Oryzias latipes: one gene and its partner. The protein of the gene in region 2 interacts with the protein of the main gene of each other region in a pairwise test. Links are inferred from orthologs where the notes say so. Each region holds a gene or a part of one and is shown on either strand. Other genes may lie near its edges.

What was found.
Region 1: the proteins of nfkbid (region 2) and ss18 interact in a two-hybrid assay, tested with the Homo sapiens proteins (2 studies listed by BioGRID and IntAct). The two-hybrid records come from large-scale screens. The link is inferred for Oryzias latipes from reciprocal best matches to the Homo sapiens genes NFKBID and SS18.

What each region holds. Positions count from the first base shown.
Region 1 is NC_019875.2:25,753,332-25,762,101, reverse strand, and holds part of ss18 (protein SSXT), read left to right. Parts: 5' UTR 1-66; coding exon 67-132; intron 133-219; exon of another isoform or gene 220-329; coding exon of another isoform or gene 330-350; intron 351-572; coding exon 573-649; intron 650-729; coding exon 730-814; intron 815-2,129; coding exon 2,130-2,286; intron 2,287-3,278; coding exon 3,279-3,509; intron 3,510-3,665; coding exon 3,666-3,836; intron 3,837-4,115; coding exon 4,116-4,193; intron 4,194-5,166; coding exon 5,167-5,289; intron 5,290-8,583; coding exon 8,584-8,714; intron 8,715-8,770. UniProt on the Homo sapiens protein: Appears to function synergistically with RBM14 as a transcriptional coactivator. Isoform 1 and isoform 2 function in nuclear receptor coactivation. Isoform 1 and isoform 2 function in general transcriptional coactivation.
Region 2 is NC_019874.2:15,535,909-15,545,359, reverse strand, and holds the start of nfkbid (NF-kappa-B inhibitor delta), read left to right. Parts: upstream 1-4,295; 5' UTR 4,296-4,395; coding exon 4,396-4,411; intron 4,412-8,232; coding exon 8,233-8,369; intron 8,370-8,556; coding exon 8,557-8,590; intron 8,591-8,843; coding exon 8,844-9,034; intron 9,035-9,132; coding exon 9,133-9,305; intron 9,306-9,451. UniProt on the Homo sapiens protein: Regulates the expression of IL-2, IL-6, and other cytokines through regulation on NF-kappa-B activity. Functions in the regulation of inflammatory responses.

The DNA of each region.
Region 1 (8,770 bases), on a different chromosome or scaffold from region 2:
GTCTTGAGTGCTAGCTTAGTTTTGACTTTTATGCTGTAGTTTACTTTCATCCCCTATTGTATCACCATGTCGGTGGCGTTTGCACCTCACAGGCAGCGGAAAGGTGATATAACAGCCGCTGGAATACAGAAGGTATTGCATCTCTTTTAGCGCGTCTCTTATGGAAGCTACCAGACGTTGTTAGCAGTTGAGATTGACAGTGTTCGTCCAAGTCTAACCGCGGACAGGTCGGGAACTATGTCACACGATCAGAGCGCGGAGAATACGAAACTCTCTTCAGTCGAGACGCCATGTTTACACGAAGCGGATTTAACAGACTGTTTGCTTAAATGATGAATGGAGGCCTGCAGGTTTGTTAGCAAACGAAAGCTAGCCAAGAAGACGAGTCTTTTGTTAGCGCACGCTCTCATCTCACAAACCCGCTTTCCTTTGTTTTGAAACTGCAACAATCTCACACCAAAAATCACAAAAATAGACCCCTACACCAACGACTCACATACTACCCAGCTCTTTGTTTATATTTATCAATTGATCACAGACGTCTTTTAAATGTTAGCTTTTATTTTTTGCAGTTACTTGATGAAAACAACCACCTGATCCAGTGTATAATGGACTTCCAGAGTAAAGGAAAAACAGCAGAATGTTCACAGTAAGTCCTTTAAAAGCCTTTGTGTTGAATGGGTTTCAGATCTGTTTGTTGAGTATAATAAATACTTGTCTTTTCCCCAGGTATCAACAGATGCTTCATAGAAATTTGGTGTACTTGGCCACGATAGCAGACTCTAATCAGAACATGCAGTCTCTCCTTCCTGCTGTGAGTACTCATCCTTGCCCATAGTTATTAGTCTGTCACTTTTTTAAACTGTACATTACGGTACATGCATATGATCCCCTGTGTACTTTAGGTGTCATAGCAGCAATGATAAAATACATATAAAGTCATACATGTATTTAATGAGAGATAAAAAAAGTTATGTTTAGATGAAAAGTAGATGAAAATAACTTTAGGCTGCACACTTATGTATTCTGGTTTATTAATGTATTTTTTGTGATGACTGTAACTACTTCACATGATCCAGCTCTTTTTAGGAATTCGACTGAGGATTTTTTAGTTTATTTTATAGTCTATTTTTTTTTTTTTTAAATAGAATAAAAGAACAAATTAAAATACGCAGAGACTTACTATTGTCACTTCTGTTTTAAAGACTAATTAATAGCTCTTCATGCTAGATCATTGCTAAGGGCAAAACATTAAAAGAGCAGACAGAAGTCTTAAAACAACCACAATAATAAATGTTTTCATTGTAAGAGATTAGGTCACTTGTGTTTTTACACCTCTGCATTTAACAGTTAAAACAAGTTTTTCAGCACTCCTGTATAACTTCTTTGTTTAATTACAGAAACACGTGTTGCTCTTTGCTATAAATTAGGGGTCAGTTTATGTATTTATCCAACAGAATATAAATTCAATTTACCAAACCAAGTCCACATTTGCATAGGAGTATTTGACTAGCGTGATGTATGCCCTTCAAGTTATTCTGGTTGTTTTGTTGATGAAACATCTTTGCTTTTAAAGCTCTCCGTCATACTGAAGTTCAGTCACTTAGACATTTTTTCTTTTCAATTATTAAAAAGGCTATTTGCTACATTCCTTTAATAAAGCCAGCAAGCATCTTTGATTTCATTAAAATTATATTTTAAAAGTAATTTTAAATATCTAGTTGTCTAATATCTACTTTCACCGTATTTAAGAAAGGTTAGAGATAGTTAGAGGGAAGGCAGTTACAGTCTGACTCTGTGAGCTAAAGAGTAACTTTGGTTCTCCTTTCCCAAAGATGCATTTTCATAAAGATTTATGAATTGTTTCTTACATGCCTTAAATTTTTGAAAAGTTTGTTTTTCTTTCTGTTTTTTTTTATGCATCCACATGGCATTGTATGTGGCCACAAGCACGTTTATTAAACGAGGTTGTTTTATTTGGCAGTTGGTCAATGTGTGCCTAAATGTCTTGCTAATCATACGCACATAAGTTTACTTTTACTTGATTTAGCTTTCTTTTTTTTGTTTCTTGTGATGATATGATTTTTCCCATTGATTGGTATATTTGTTCTTTTTTTTAATGCTTTCAGCCACCCACTCAAAACATGCCTATGGGCCCTGGTGGCATGACCCAAAGCGGACCTCCTCCCCAGCCCCCACATGGTCATAATATGCCCTCTGAGGGAATGGTCAGTGTTGGCCCCCCAGCCCCCCATATGCAGAGCCAGATGAATGGACAGATGCCTGGTAAGTCACTAACTCAATATGTCCTCCTCTGTCTTTCTTTCTTTTTCTTTTTTCTCTCCCAGTTTCTGTCTTGCTCAGGTTGCTTAGCAACACCGCAGAACCAAGAGGGAGGTCTTCTGCTAAAGGATGATGTCATTCGTTGGGGTGCTGTGATGGCCTTGAACTTGATTTTGACTTGATACCTTTTTTGTTTTCTTTTTAAGCACAAAAGTATACATAAATCTAAAAAATATACACGGGTATATATTTTATTGGAACTCTTTTTCTGGGTAAAGTTTAACAGATTTTATTGGGGATCAAGTCACTCTCCTAAAAATTACTCAACCATCTTTTTATACGAATTTGATGCTGTAAATATATAGCACATGTTTTCCGTGGACTTTTTTAACTAGTTAGAGAAAAGAACTGCATCCATCAGGGTTGCTTTAAAGGTTATGTGGAATCTCTTTCAAAGGCAAAGACTTCATTTTAAAGGCAGAAAGAGCTGTTTTACTTTAAAAATAGCTTTAAGAATTTGATCGATAACTATACAACTTTTTTCTGATACGCGTTTTAATTTTTTTACAATTGCAATCCAATCTTTTGTTTGCATATTAATGTGTTTAGACTTCCAGCAGATATTTATATCATCATAAACAAAATGATTTTTCCATCTACAGATTAGAAGAAGTTTCTGTAGTTCCTTCAGTGCATTTAAAACTGGCCTAAATTAGAAGATAAAGTAAACATAATTGCTAAAATGTTCATCCATCTGTAAGTTAAACTCGCAAGAACCTTTATGAAATCAAAAAATACAAACTCTAATTATTCCAAAGTTGTAGCATTCCACTAGAATTTTTAATGTAATACGGGAAAAATGGTCATTTCCATTAAGTTTTTATTAGAATAAATCAAACCAAAATCAGGCCACAGAAAAGTTATGTGTAAATTACTGTTTCACTCAATGTTCTTGACCTTCCATAACTATTTTGTGCTTCTTTTTTTTCTTTCAGGTCCTAATCACATGCCCATGCAAGGACCCGGTCCAGGCCCCAACCAGCCTCCAAACATGTCCAGTGGTTCCATGAACATGCCCCCCAGCAGTCATGGCTCCATGGGGGGTTACAATCATGCTGTCCCATCCTCTCAGGGGATGCCGGTTCAGAGCCAAATGAGTATGACCCAAGGCCAGCCAATGGGAAACTATGGACCTCGACCAAACATAAACATGCAGCCAAGTCAAGGTGAAGCAAGTTTTCCTGTCTTGCAATCCGTGGAGTTTTATTGATTTCTGTTGCGTCTTGCTGTGCGGGACTGGTGTTTGTGTATTAAGTTTAGCGCTGTTATCTATTATGGGTCTATTATAGGGAGATATCTAACTCATTTTGGGGTAATTCCAGGTCCGATGATGCATCAGCAGCCTCCGTCACAGCAGTACAACATGCCTCCAGGTAGTGGTGGACAGCACTACCAAGGACAACAGAACCCTATGGGTATGATGGGTCAGGTCAACCAGGGGAACCACGTCATGGGACAGAGGCCAATGCCCCCCTACAGACCCCCACAGCAAGGTATAAAGCTGTTAGTGGTCTTATGCATGGAAGTTTTGAAGTCCGATCTTCCCTGGAACCCTCCTCCTTCATCTCCCATTCTTTCTCTTCTCAATTTACCTTTCTTGTGGAGTTCACATACACCTTGATGCACCCTGAAGCATCAAGTCTTTTTAGATCCTAAGAGAACACGTCTCTCTAGAGCTCATGGCAGGGAGTCCATCCTCTCTACCCCACCCCCACATAAACCCATACCAACGACACCTTGAATCTACTTGTGTGTATGTTGTGTGTATGTAGGACCCCCTCAGCAGTACCCAGGACAGGAAGACTACTATGGGGACCAGTACAGTCACGCAGGCCAGGGAGCCTCAGAAGGTAGGTGAACCCACCAACCTCTGGGAAAGAAAGGCGATGCATCAGCCCAAAACTCATCAGTTTCTTGATGACTTTCTGGGGAAGCCAAATGTTTAGGGAATATGGCATTTTTTTAAGAATTCCCCAAAATTGGTCATTTCACACTAGAATCACAGCAGAAGCCTATTATGGTACAGTATTCCCCCCTTATTCGCGGGGGTAAGGAACCAGAGACATCCGTGAATACGGAGAACCCCCCCACCCCTGTGGCTGGAGAATGTCCGTCACCAATCCTTACTCATTAAAAACCCTTCTGAAACTTTTCTGATGCTTCGTAAAACATTTATTAAAAAGCACTGAAATATTGCTCAGCATAAAGATTTTTTTTTACATTATTCAGAGCAATAGACTGACCACAGCGTACTTTATAATGCACTCCAGCCCCTTCTTTGGACGCAAAAGTCTTATACAAGCGTCTTGAGCTGAGATTTTGTGATGAACTGGAGTGCTAATAGTGAAACGCGAATACACGGGGGAACACTGTATACGAAACTCTTTTCTGTCTTTGTTCAATTAACATTCCCTTTTTTTTCCTCTACTGACTCTCCGTTTCTCTACAGCCTTTCAGAGTCAGATGTTTTTAAAACTAAAAACAAAACTCTTGACCTGTTTTTGTTTATTTGTTGTCTATATTCTGTGATCTCCTCTGTGAAGCTGAAACACTACAGCTAGAATATACAGATATTATGGTAGTAATGTCATAAAATAATATGCAATGTAAGTGGTATTTTACTTGTTTGACTATGTACTTATTTTATGACCTCATGTATTATTTGACTCAAAGTAAAAAAATAAATAAAAAAAAGGTTATATTAGCATCTCCTATTTTTAGATTTTCTTTTTTTTTATTCAAATTCCATAAAATCGCTTTAAAGTTGCTTTGTATACCCCTGCATGAGTGTATCTTCATCACTGTACCCTCTCTGACTTGAAGGTAATGCCCAGTATGGCCAGCAGCAGGAAGCATACCAGCAAGGCCCCCCTCAGCAGCAGGGTTATCCTCCACAGCAGCAGTACCCAGGTCAGCAGGGCTACCCGCCACAACAACAAGCTTACGGTGAGTCCATTCAGAAACCCAGAAAGCCACAATGTCCCACTGGAATGCAGATGGGTGAAATAACCAAACAGTGAACATGTCTTGACATAATCAAATATTGAGGAGATTGGAGCTTAGTGGAAAAATAAATCATTAGTGCTTGTTTTAGCATGTCAGTTTACTTTAAAAACTATTCTTCAGGAATCAGAGGACCGCTTACTGATTTCAAAACAATTTTTTGTAAACTCTAAAATTCAGAGCCAGTCCAGATAAACTAACATTTGGGATTTTTCAGATGTTTTTGCTCTAAGGATCTTTTAGAACTAATGCCATCAACAACAACAAATAAAACATTTATTCTAAAGGTCCGCAACTACATTATTATTATATCTTTTTTTTTTGCAGAATTAAGAGGCACATTTTTTTTTTAAATACTGCATAAACAAACCTTAAACAGTTTTCTCTAAGAATAGAGCCTTATTTTACTTCAAACTCTTCAGGTTTTACTTAGTTTTCCTATAATTAGTTTAGTGTCTTAACAAAAATATTAAACCACAAATAGACTTGTTGTTAGTTCTCTAATATGTAACAGCGTTTAATAAATCTAAGTGAATGATGGACAGATCCAAGCTAATAATAGAGAATGTAATAAAGAATACATTTTTAATAGAGTATGTAATAAATCCTTACGAAATAGTAGGTTTTACAGACAAACTTGAAATGTTTCCTGGTAAATCTCTCTGGAGTATCGGTAACACCTGCCCTTGTAAGTGGACATGGGCTGTCTGAGGGCAAAAAAATGGGCAAACCTGAAGGGGGCATGCAGATGGTAGACTGCTCCATGAGCCCATATCAAGAAAATGTTCATGCACATGTGTTTCTGTAGGCCTGATGCGGGCGACTGGTCATAGGGAAGAGTTGCACAACTCATATTTAAGTAAGGGGGAAGTTGGTGAGATGCGTCTATTCAAACCACCCCTACGTTGGTTAGTGTGTGCTCCTTACGAGCAGCCTGCCTGCTCCAAATGAGAAAATGAAACAATTATGCGAGTGTCCTATTTGTATTTACATATCACCAGCACACCTTTGCGTGCAGCGTTTGCGTGCGGTTAGTAAGGAGCCAGGACGCGCACCTTGCTGAAGACTAGAGTGCGGGGTTAGGTCGCTCTAAGTGTGTGGAACTTGCATTATCCTTACAAAAACTTGACAGTACACTTCCCAACACGCAGGGAAATCGTACATTCCGCTCTCATGACATCCCTTAAGATGGCCTCAGGACACACATGTGCTCGCCTTAAGACGCAGCCGCTCCTCTCTACGATCCTCCATCGCCCTGGATAGCCTGTTGCACCTGTACGCGTCAATAGGCTATCCGGGTTTAAGCATTTACTTAAAAAAAACAAAAAAAAGAGTATAGAAATAAACATGATTTAATCAGGATCTGATATCATTTGAAGTGTGGGTTTACTTGCAGGAGCTCTTAAGGGATTTCTCTTTGTGGCAGTTTTCTCTAGAACTTTCTGTCAGTTGCCCTCTTTGTGAGCCAGAGCTGTAGTTATTAATGAGCCAGCTGAGATGCCGAGGCTGTGAGGTGAGATCCATCTGGCACATACACACGCCTGCTCTCTCAGGCTCCCACAAGGTTATGCACAGCAGCATAAGGCATTAGGAGGGCCTAACGATGCTGCGTGGGCCTCATTTGACTTCCACCCAAGTCTAGTTTGCTCGGTCCTTCACAGTATCGGCAAAGATGGCTCCTGTGTACAGAGCTGGATTATAAATAGGTCTCTCTCTCTCTTTATACATATATACATATTTATTTTCTTTAGCTTGTTTTTTTTTTTATGTGTAACTGCTCCCTGACCTCAGTGTGACTCATTTGGTTGCATCCATAACTTGCTAACATGTTTCAGAAGCAGCCTAGGCAAATATTTGATATTCTTCTGTCGGTTGATCCTTGCTATAAAGCAGTGCTTCTCAAATAGTGGGACACGCCGATGCGATGCCAGGAGGGGCGCGCGGTAGTGGCGGTTTTAGGCACAGGTAATACGGGCAAATGTCCGGGGCGCAAATTTAACATGGGGGTGGTGACGACAGCGGCTCAGTGCGAGGAAAAAATCTGCGCCACTATTCGGTTCCTATTGTCTGTTAAATCACACACAGAGTTTGTAACAGCCTGAAACTTTTGAATCCCCGTCCCTGCAGCTGCGCGCTCCCGTCTCCTGTCACACGCGTGTGTGAGAACGAAAGGGGAGGGGTAGTAGGCTCAGGCTGCCAGGTGAAATGGGGCACGCGGAGAGCTGCAAGCACTGCCTGGATTAGCACCACCAGGATCATCACATGCTTTTAGATTACTCAGTTCATGCTAATAATGTCATCCTTCATTAACTGTTATAGATATTTTGATGACATCTTTATTTTTCATAAATGTATTTTTTGTCTGCCTGTCGTTTAGTTGGTGTCAGTATTTGAAATAAAGACAGCAGGTAATGCAGGAAAACCGCTGCACTTTATGAGATCATAAATAAACAATCCATCATTTAGAAAAACATCAGCACAATGTTTTTATCTATCTCTACAGACTAAAAAGGTTAAATATATTGGTGCTGCTCTGTTAATGTTTCAGATCAATTTACATTTAATATTATTGATTGACTAAATTATTTTTCTCAGCATCAAATGGTTCAGTTGGTCAGAATGTTTCTATTTTAAATAAGGACTGATAGATTTTTTTATTTCAGGCACTTTAAGCTTTTTTCTTTTAGACTATAACTGGGTTTCTGTGGCTAAATAAAGTCAATATTTGTTGAAAATTATTTTTATTGCTTTTTTTCTTTTGTTAGTGTTAAAAGATACAACTTTAGGGATACTTACACACATTTTATAGATACTAACCTAATATATTGTCACTTGGGTCAATTTCTCACTTCACCATTCAGAAGAATAAGGCTTCAAAAAGAAAGTAGTGAACATGGTGTCCGAATTGCTTTTATTGTTGGAGCATTATGGGTACTGTAGTCAGGTTTCTCACTGAGTGATGCATACTGTCCTTCAACTGTCTGTGAATGAGTTGAATAAAGTTTACTTCTAACTTTATAGTCACTTATATTAAAAGCTTGTTGTTTTTCTTTAACCAGGGATCCACAACGGAGGTGGAAAAGTCACGTTTAGACCCCTATTTTAGCTGAACAACTAGTCCTTTGGTTCAGACTGACAAAATTAAGACTTTTGGTTTATCAGAAATGGAATGTGTTGGTTTTTCAGTTAGCCGTCCTTTTAAGAGCGCCACCTTACATCTGTTTGTGCTCACTTTAGGCCCCTCCCAAAGTGCTCCGGGACAGTACCCTAACTATCCGCAGGGGCAGGGCCAACAGTATGGGGGCTACCGTCCTCCCCAGCCCGGACCCCCTCAGGGCCAGCAGCAGCGCCCGTACAGTTACGACCAGGTGAGTATAGCAGCAGTCACCGGATTGTTTGGAATTCCGATTTTCTTACAAATTAA
Region 2 (9,451 bases):
AACTAAACTGAATATTAATACGTACAGTTGTTTTTTTTGTAATTAAAGTTATATCTTCAAGTCCCAAACTTGAACCAAACAATTACTCCACCACCAGCGTGGTCAGAGTTTGGTTTCAGTTTGGCTTTATGGGAAAAAAAGAAAAAGAAAAAGATGAAATCTTTTTATTTGACCAGCAGAGGGAGCTGCAGGGCTTCTCATTTCAAATTCAGCGAAAACTGTTTTGCTGCAGAACAGAAGGATCCTCTTTTCCTGCACCACAGTCAAGTGGGCTTTATCATGTTGTGCATTGTACCAATCAGGCTGTTGTCAATATACCACTTAACCTCTCAGATGATTTTCTTTTGTTTTGAATTCAGGGTTGTAATAAAGAATAGTTGAAGAAAAATAAAATAAAATAAACGAATATATATATATATATATATATATATATATATATATATATATATATATATATATATATATATATATATATATATATATATATATATATATATATATATATATATATATATATTCACAATATATTCACAAGTGCCGGCACACTGCTGGACGGTCAGTCGATGGCCAAAGACATACATGAGATCCAAGCATTTAATATTTATACAATAATATTAAACAATAAAAGAAAAAAATAAATAATACAGACATTTCTGAAAGCTTCACAAATGCCTGCTTTTTCCAAACTGAAGGGGAACCCCCCCTTTTATTTTATATCATTTTTTTAAATCATTCATATTTTTCCAGCAGCTTTTCACACTAATTCCCTTTTAACATTTTTAAAATAAAACGTGTGCTTATAAAATTACCAAATGAAAATTCCAACTATATTTAAAGTTGTTAAAAACAGCCTTGGTCTTACAGTTTATATTTAGTTGAAGCCATTAGAATGAAAAATGTTCAAAAGATAGGAAGTTTTTTGTTGTTGCTCTGGAGATTAATCTTTTGACAAACTGTCTCTCAAAATAATAGAGAGAAAAAAATCTAGAAACAGCTACAATATGTCTTTTAATTCAGCAACAATAAAATATGACTTTCAAAATTTACAGGATTTTTGGTACAATTAAATGTTGCAGACTTTAAAAAGAAATGATCAAGAGGAAATGATAAAGTCTGAATTTACACAACCAAACTGTTATTGTTTTCTTTAGTGACCTCAATTATTTTTAAAGCAATTTTAGCAATTTTAAAGCAATCTTGTGGAATTGTTTGATTGTGGCACAATTCCACAAAACCACCATAACATCCACTTTTAAGAAAAAAAGAGCTCACATATGAGTTCATTTCAATTCAAATTTTTTGAAAATGTATACATAATGTTTTATTTTTAGTATTGCTTCGCCTCATAATCAGTCTTTTAATATTAACTTCCTATTTTTGAACTGCTCAAACAGCACATTTATTTATAAATCTATGTATACACAGTAATTATTTTAAAAACTTTTATTAGATAGACAGATAGATAGATAGACAGATATAGTACTTTATTAATCCTGAGGGAACTTGCATTTATTTCCTTTTGAGGGATCCATACAGTTTTTTCTTTGCTGTTTTAATAATACTGAGTAGAACTCTTAGGTTCCTGACTTTTTCTTCTATTTATGCAACTTCCTTCTGGCAAAAATAGACGACAAGATTGAAGACTGTCGTCACAGTCACCACTATGTCAGAGAACCTTCACAAATGCTCAAAATGCTTTCACACTGGATAACTATTTTTCCTTTGAAGATTTGTGAACTGTTTTTATATTTGGCAGTCCTGGCATCTCTTTTTTTTATTTGAAATTTTGATTTGTAATTTTTTTAGTGTCTTTTTTCTACATGAATTAAAACTGAGAAGGGGAAGTAGAAATTTACCACACTGAAATATAGCTTTTAGACTTTAATTCTTCCTTCACCATTTTAACGGTGTTAACCTTTAAACAACCCAACCAAGACATAGCAATCAAAAAATATTTGTCTATTGCCTATTGCCTTAGGTGAATATACAAACAATCGACAGTTTAAAAAAATGTGTTTTCAGAATGTGCTCCACCATTTGGTTGACCAGGAAGTTAAAGGGATAAAAATGATGGAAAAGATCCCAAAACATATTGACATTTATAAGACAGACCCACATTAATTGTCATAACAATCCAATAGATTCATTCTTGTTTTATACCAAAAATCACAAGTTGTTTAGTTTTTACTCTTCTAATCTTCACATCTGTTTAGTTTCTAAGCAAGCTCTCAGTGCTTTTTGATACTGTTAATTAAAAAAATCATTAGATGCTTTTTATCCTGTGATGTAATAATAATTGTGTCTTTTAATACAAACTATGCAGTTAGGCATATTTTATGGGCTACGCAACAGAAATAATTTAATGAAAAAGAGAAAAACTTTGAGCTATAGAGTTAGAATAGAAAAATATATGTTTTAATGTTTTTGTGTCAAGTGGCAACTTTTGTGTTGGTAACTTCAAATCTGAGCTAACAGAAATTACATGTGGGGTGGGTTCCTAAAGGCTCCATCCTGGTGTAGCATTGCCACATATGTAAATATATATTTGGGATTGTCTTTTTACTGAAAAGAAAAAAGAAAAATCAGTATTGACTTTCCTTTGTTAACCCTGGCTAATATCATCCTGTCTATATGTTTATTTCTTAGGAGTTTATGTTGAATGAATAGCAGGGCAGGTTAAACTACATTGTCAAGAGAACAAATACAAATACAAATATTGTTTTTTTTTTGTTTGTTTGTTTTGTAATACTTGGATAATTGAAGAACGTTACACTGGGTCCACTTAAATTTAATGTCTACATGCTCCCACTTGCCAAAGAATGTTAACATCAGTTACCATAGCTATGCAGATGACACACATATGTATATGTATATTGACACCAGGAGATAGAGGCCCTGCACTGCCCTCAGTAAATGCATTGAGGACATCACAGCTAAACACATCAGCTAAACAAAAAAACAAAAAAAATTAAGGTTATTGTCTTTGGGGCTAAAGAAAACAGTTGTAGGTCTGAGCTTCAATCTTTTCATCTAAAAATACCAACCAGGCTAGAAACTTGGGGGTGGTGACGAACACAGACCTACATTTTGATAAACGCATTAAGGCAGTCACAAAATCAGCCTACCATCATCTTAAAAATAATCAAGGATTAAAGTTCTAATATCTAAGCAGGACCTGGACAAATTAGTTAATGCGTTCATCTTTAGTTGACTCGGCTACTGTAACATTGTTCTGACAGGACTACCAAAAAGTCAATCATGAAGCAGCAGCTTATTCAGAAATCTGCTGCGGATTCTCACAAGGACCAAAAAGAAGACCACATTAGTCCAGTTTCACACATCTTCACACTGGCTGTCTGTGCCAGAAAATAGGCTTTAATGGTCTGTTGCTAGTTTATAAAGCTTTGAATGGTTTAGCTCCAAAATACATGGATGACCTCCAGACCCAGAATCAAAACCAAACATGGAGAAGCTGCATTCAGCCTCTCTGCTCTACAGATCTGGAACATATTTGCAGGGAGCCTTAAATCATCTGAAAAAGTTTTTTTTAAATCCAGTTTAAAGACACCTGTTCTCAGCTGCATTTGATTAGTTTGTATTCAAAAGTTTACAGCCACTGTCAATCTTACTTGAAATTCAGTTCATTTTAACTTTCTTAAATGTTAGTTATCACACCTTTCCTTTTTATTTTGTTTCTTTTAATGCATAAAGCACTTGGAATTATTTTTGTACATAAAATGTGTCATACAGATTAACTTGTCTTGCCTTGATTTCCTTGAAGTGACTCAGATTTTCCTGCAAGATTCTGTCTAGACATTAGGGAACCTGAAAGTTGACACATTTCACTGTACAGATCATGTTTCTTTCTAGTGACTACAGGTCTGACATTGGAATCAAAATGAGAAGCAGGTGCAATTTATTAAATGGAAAAAACAACAACTTTAAGAATTGAACTAAAAAAAGAAAACTCTGCAACTGTTTTTTTGCATTGATTTAGTTTTTTAATGGATCCTTTGACGGGCACTCTAAAAACTTTTCCTACATTCTTGTGTACTTTTACATTTTACAGTTCCCCCCCCCCCCCCCCCCACACACACATATATATATATATATATATATATATATATATATATATATATATATATATTTTGGCGGTTTATGTTTATCTCTGGGTTTGCTCCTTCCTCTGGGTACGTCACAGAAACGTAGGTGAGCGTCCCGCACTGCGCGTGGGCGGCCGGTGGGCGGGGCACCGACAACGTGCTTTGTGTATACACTGCAGCATCAGTCAACAGAAACCAGCGCAACAGAGTAGTTCAGCGCCACCGAGCAGCAGAAGTTCCCAATTGAACGGACTGGTGACTGTCGCAGACTCCAGAGAAAACCGTTTCTGACATGCACTTTGATAAAAGTGAGTATGATTGTGTTTTTATCCTCCCTGCAGAAAGATTTATTTAGATTAGGTTGTTTAAATCTTAAAAATGTCTTAGTTTTGTAGTATTGTTTGTTGTATTTGTTTTCTATTGTAAGGGTTTTTATTTTGTAATTCTGGATTTAATAATCTCATAGACACCTAATCCCAAAACAATAGCATTTCAAAACAACACCAAACCTCTCACTATCATATAACGCAGTATAAATATTTCCAGCAAGTTTTGAAACTGTTCATTCAGATGTTTATTGACATCACAAATTCAAAACCCGTTTTGGGAATCCCTGATGCTTCTCCACCCTTGCCTGCATGCTTTCAATTCCCCTTTTCAGTGACTGTCACTCAAGCAAGTTGTCTGATGTGAAAGTGTAACTTGTTTTACTTATGCTTTTGTCTTCTTTTTCCTATTCATTCTTGTCTTCTGCGGAACCTGCCTGAGTGATCACAGACATACGTTTTGTTGTGCACGCCGTTTCTGTTTAACCTGAAAATGAGGAAACTGGTTATGCACTGCTTCTTTCTTTTGCTGAGGATCAAACCTAAAGAGAAAGGTCATTGGAATCCCCAACCTCCCACTCACATGACTCAATGTCCAGGGGTTTCCACAGCCCTATTTACATTTTACATAGACTGGCTTCTGTGGTAAGGTTAATCTGGCCTAGACCCAGTATTGGTGCATGTTGTGGTCCCCTTTTCTCTTGGACAAGCGATAAATGCCCCCCTTTTAGCTTCTTGTTTTTATGTGGGACTATAATGTATTGTATTGAGCAACTTCTATATGTTGTGAAACTCCTCGCTGTGAAGTCATGCAGCATCGTCATCAATTTAAAGGCCAAAATAAATTAAAAAGAAAACCTCAAATGAGTAAGGATCAATTCACCTGTAGTAACACCTTCTGTGTATGAAAATGAAACTTGGCGGGACAGAAATGTCAAAAGGGATGTCATAACCTTCTTTTGTTATTGATGACCTTTATCTTTAGCTGAGGGGCATTTAATGTCACACAGAGTAGCACAAAGATGTGCTGTTTCTCACAGCGTCACACATCAAAGTGAAAAAGTTTTTATTTTATTTTGAAAAGCAGCACAGACAGAAAACAAACTCAACACTGGTGTTTTATCTGTAAATTCGTACATTTTGAGTTATATTTATATATGTATATATATATTTTTAATCTACTTCAACTTATTGTAAACCTTTGAGGACAACTTGTTCTTTTCAGCGTGTGTATAAACAGGCCAAAACTCTAAAGTGGCAAAATATCTGTCTTTGGCATGTAGGTGAACAGTAAACGCAGGGCAACATGTATTGAGGTGACAAGCTTGTGAAACACCAAAGGAAGTGGTTTGCTTTTCTGTAGCGTAACGGAGTGAGACAGGAAGGTGTCACAGAAAATCAACAGTGGCAATCCCATGCTGAAGGTTTTCTGATGAAAATGATCATGGGTTTGCACGGCCACATGTGTGTTCCTAGTGGAGAAGGTTTCTCATCGTTTTAGCTTTGTTCTCTGGTTCCAAAGAAAGGGTGGAAAGAGACCCAAGGCGTTATCTTTCACGTGTGGGGTGAACTTTTTGAGGAAACAAGACTGTGTGGTCACACTGGAAACATCAGAATTCTCTTTTGTAGCATATTTTTGTCCTTTTTTTTTTTTAATTTCCTTTACCTGTTTGGTGGAAATGATACTTTGATAAAAGAAGCGGGGAAATGATTAGGTGTTGTGAAAATGTCACAGTGGAGAAGCTTAACAATGGCACTGTTTATCAGACCTAAACCTGTTTTTACAATTTGGACCTCACATCTATCACTAAGTGGTATTGTTGACACTGAACTGTAAAAAAAGTAAAACCCAATAGATCAGGGGGGTCAAACTCATTTTCACCAAGGGCCACATAAGGACGTTGTCCTCAAAGGGCCAGATATAACTTATACATGTAACTAAATGTAATGAAAAATAAACGTAACTACTCCTCAATGTTAAATAACTTATTTATTTATTTATTAAAACTTTTTAAATGACAATTACAGTTGCATAGAAAACATTATGTTTGCTTGTTACTCTAACATAAATTCTTTTAAATGTGATTGCGTCAGGTTAGGTTATATAGACATTGTTTAAGTCCTAATGTGTAGTTGTCCAATCCGATATTTGTAGTCCAATTTCCCCTAGATATGAATAAATACACACCAATTTTTATTTTAAATTAATAGAAATTAAAATCTTTTATGCTCTCGCAGGCCATATAAAATGACAAGGCGGGCCACATTTGGCCCGCGGGCCTTGAGTTTGACACATGTGCTCTAGGTCCACGAACGTCTTCGTTTCCCTCTTCCAGCTACATTTTTTTTTGGACCGGTAATGTTATGTTGGGGTTGTTAGAGTCTGTAAGCTAGCGGGAGAGCAAGTAAACTGACTGATGAGGGGAAGTGGGAGTGGTCTTACTCTGTGCCAACACAGAACTCAGGGGTGAATTTCTAATAAACTACTGACGCTCTGCAGAAACGATGTCCTAGAAAATGACAGTTTTTTTTGTGCTAAAAGCGGCCACATTTAGCCCGCGGGCCTTGAGTTTGAACACGTGCAATAGAGGGTCACAAAGGCAGCTTTTTAAAATATTAATATGTTGATGCGTCTTAGCAAATAAAGAAAAACAAACCCTTCTATGAAAAGTAAAAGCTCGTCATCTATCTTTGTAACAGTAAAAATTTCTATTTTTTCTATTTTGAAGTGTCCTTTTTTAAATTAAAAATATATGCGTTTTAAACTGGGGCACATTTGAGGAGATAACTTAAAAAAATAAAACACCGTTTGAAAATTTTAGCTGAGCTGGCTAGAACCTTCAAAGATTTGTATCTCTGACCAGATTTTTTTTTATACTTGTGCTCTTTATTAGACATTTCTACAGACAGAAAACAGGCCAAAATGGGGCATCAATGCACTATTGAAGAAAAAATGCAGCAAAGGGGCCACTGGCTGAAAGTGACAAATGCCCACCGTGAATGAGGACAGCTTCTGCACATGCAGGGTCTATTCCGGTATCTTTAGTGTCTGATGCACAAAAAGATTATCATCTAACCTAGATTCATTGCAAAAAAGGCACATTTTGATTCTGATTATTGAAATTTTTTGAATGTACTTTTAGGAAAGCATCACCAATTGTTTAGAAAGATTACAGATTACTTTAAAGATCAAGTCTTAAGGTAAAGTTGTAGGGAAATGGTAAGAGTACCAATGTTGGTGTGGAGCATGTGTCTTAATTTAGTCAAATATAAATTTTTCATTCTTTTCCACTGTTCTTAAGATTACGTCAAACATGGCAGTTCAAGCTAGAGCACAAATCAAAAGGATAATGATTTTCAACACAAGAAAATGCACCAACTTGATCAATATGACCCTAAAGACCCACTTTGATGACAATTCTGTGCATTTCTGAGTCTTTCCTTATTTAAATCTTTGTGAATCTGACGCAGATGAAAAAAATGAAAAAGAGCGTATCTGTGACGTAAAAAATATGCTGGGCGGGCCACAAACTCCCTGTTTCCAGCTCTCAGCAACAAGGAGAGCCAACGGTCCCGCCCACATCTCAGAGGTGAATTGCTGTGAACTCCTGCCGCTCTGCAGAAACCTTGTCCTAGAAGACGTTTGATGGGCAATGGTTGATGATTTATCATTTGTACTTGACTTTCTGTTGCAGAAAGTTGTATTCTTTTAGTGTTAATCTGTTGTAACTTAAAAAGCCAAAAATCTCACAATTTTCTTACTAAAATCACGTATTCTGCTTGGTATTGTTTCTTGTTGTTAGCGCCAAAAGAGAAGCCGTGTTGCACCCTGCCCACTGTGAAGAAACTCTTGGAGCAGAAGCGAAGACGTGAGACATCTGCTGTGCAGCCCCCCTGCTCTACTGCTAACACAAGTCCTATTGCACCAGCTGTTCTCTCAGTAAGTCAGCTTTACAAAGGGCTAACCCCCATGAGCATCAAATAATTTAGAGGTTCAGAGCATTGGTTAGAATGAGTATGTTCTAATCTATTCGTGCAAGATTTGTTGGCAATTCCAGCCTCTATGTTCACCTTTGACAATTTGGAATGATTGCAGCTCATCTTTTTGCCTCTTTCCTTCTCTATAGGAGTTATCCCCACCAGAGCCATTTACCTGCACAGGTAGGAGAGCTGGACCTTCTCTTTGCAAAATGTCAAAGATAAATCCAGATATTCATTATTGTTAGCAGAATATAACATTTTAACCTCTAAAGACGCAGGTTAATATTTCAGCTAACCCTCTACACACATTGTCCCAGGACCCCAATTAAGCAAAATTAACTACTGTGGTGATATAACCCAAAATGTGATGTCAACGCATGTGGATGCTAGGTCCTACGAGGTTAAAGATAACTAACTAGCATCTCTGTTCCAGGTGCAACAAGCAGTTACTCAGACATGGCAATGAGCTATGAGCAGTGGACCCCATCCCCTGAGCCTGCGCTCAGCTACTACACCAGCCACCCCGGCCCCAGCTATGCTCCAACCTTCAACCTCCAAATGACACCCGCATACAACACACAGCAGCAGATCCCTACATTTGGAGACTCAATGTCCCAGTCATATGTAAGAGATATGCTTTGACTGTGTACTACCTACACATGTCACGTGCCTGCCTGAAACTTAACTAACGTGCTAGAGGGCCTTTGGGTTGAAAATTGCAGGATTGCTCAGTGGCAGTTGTGGACCCCAGTGCATCTTCGTCGTGGGAACTTCTTGATTCCAGTCAGATTGCACAACAAGTTTTTGTTCCATCAATGGACGCCAGCAAGCTGAGGGACGCCAGAATGCAGCTCAATGGGATGGACTACAGCAGCCAGGATGAAGATGGAGACACGTGAGTCTTTATTTGAAAATAGTGCTTGAGGTTTATAACTATAATAAAAAGTTAAGATATATAGATGTAATATTTCAAGCTAGAAATGTTTGGTGTGTTTTGCAACTATTGAGTGAAATTTACATTGAATTTATGGTAACTTTGGA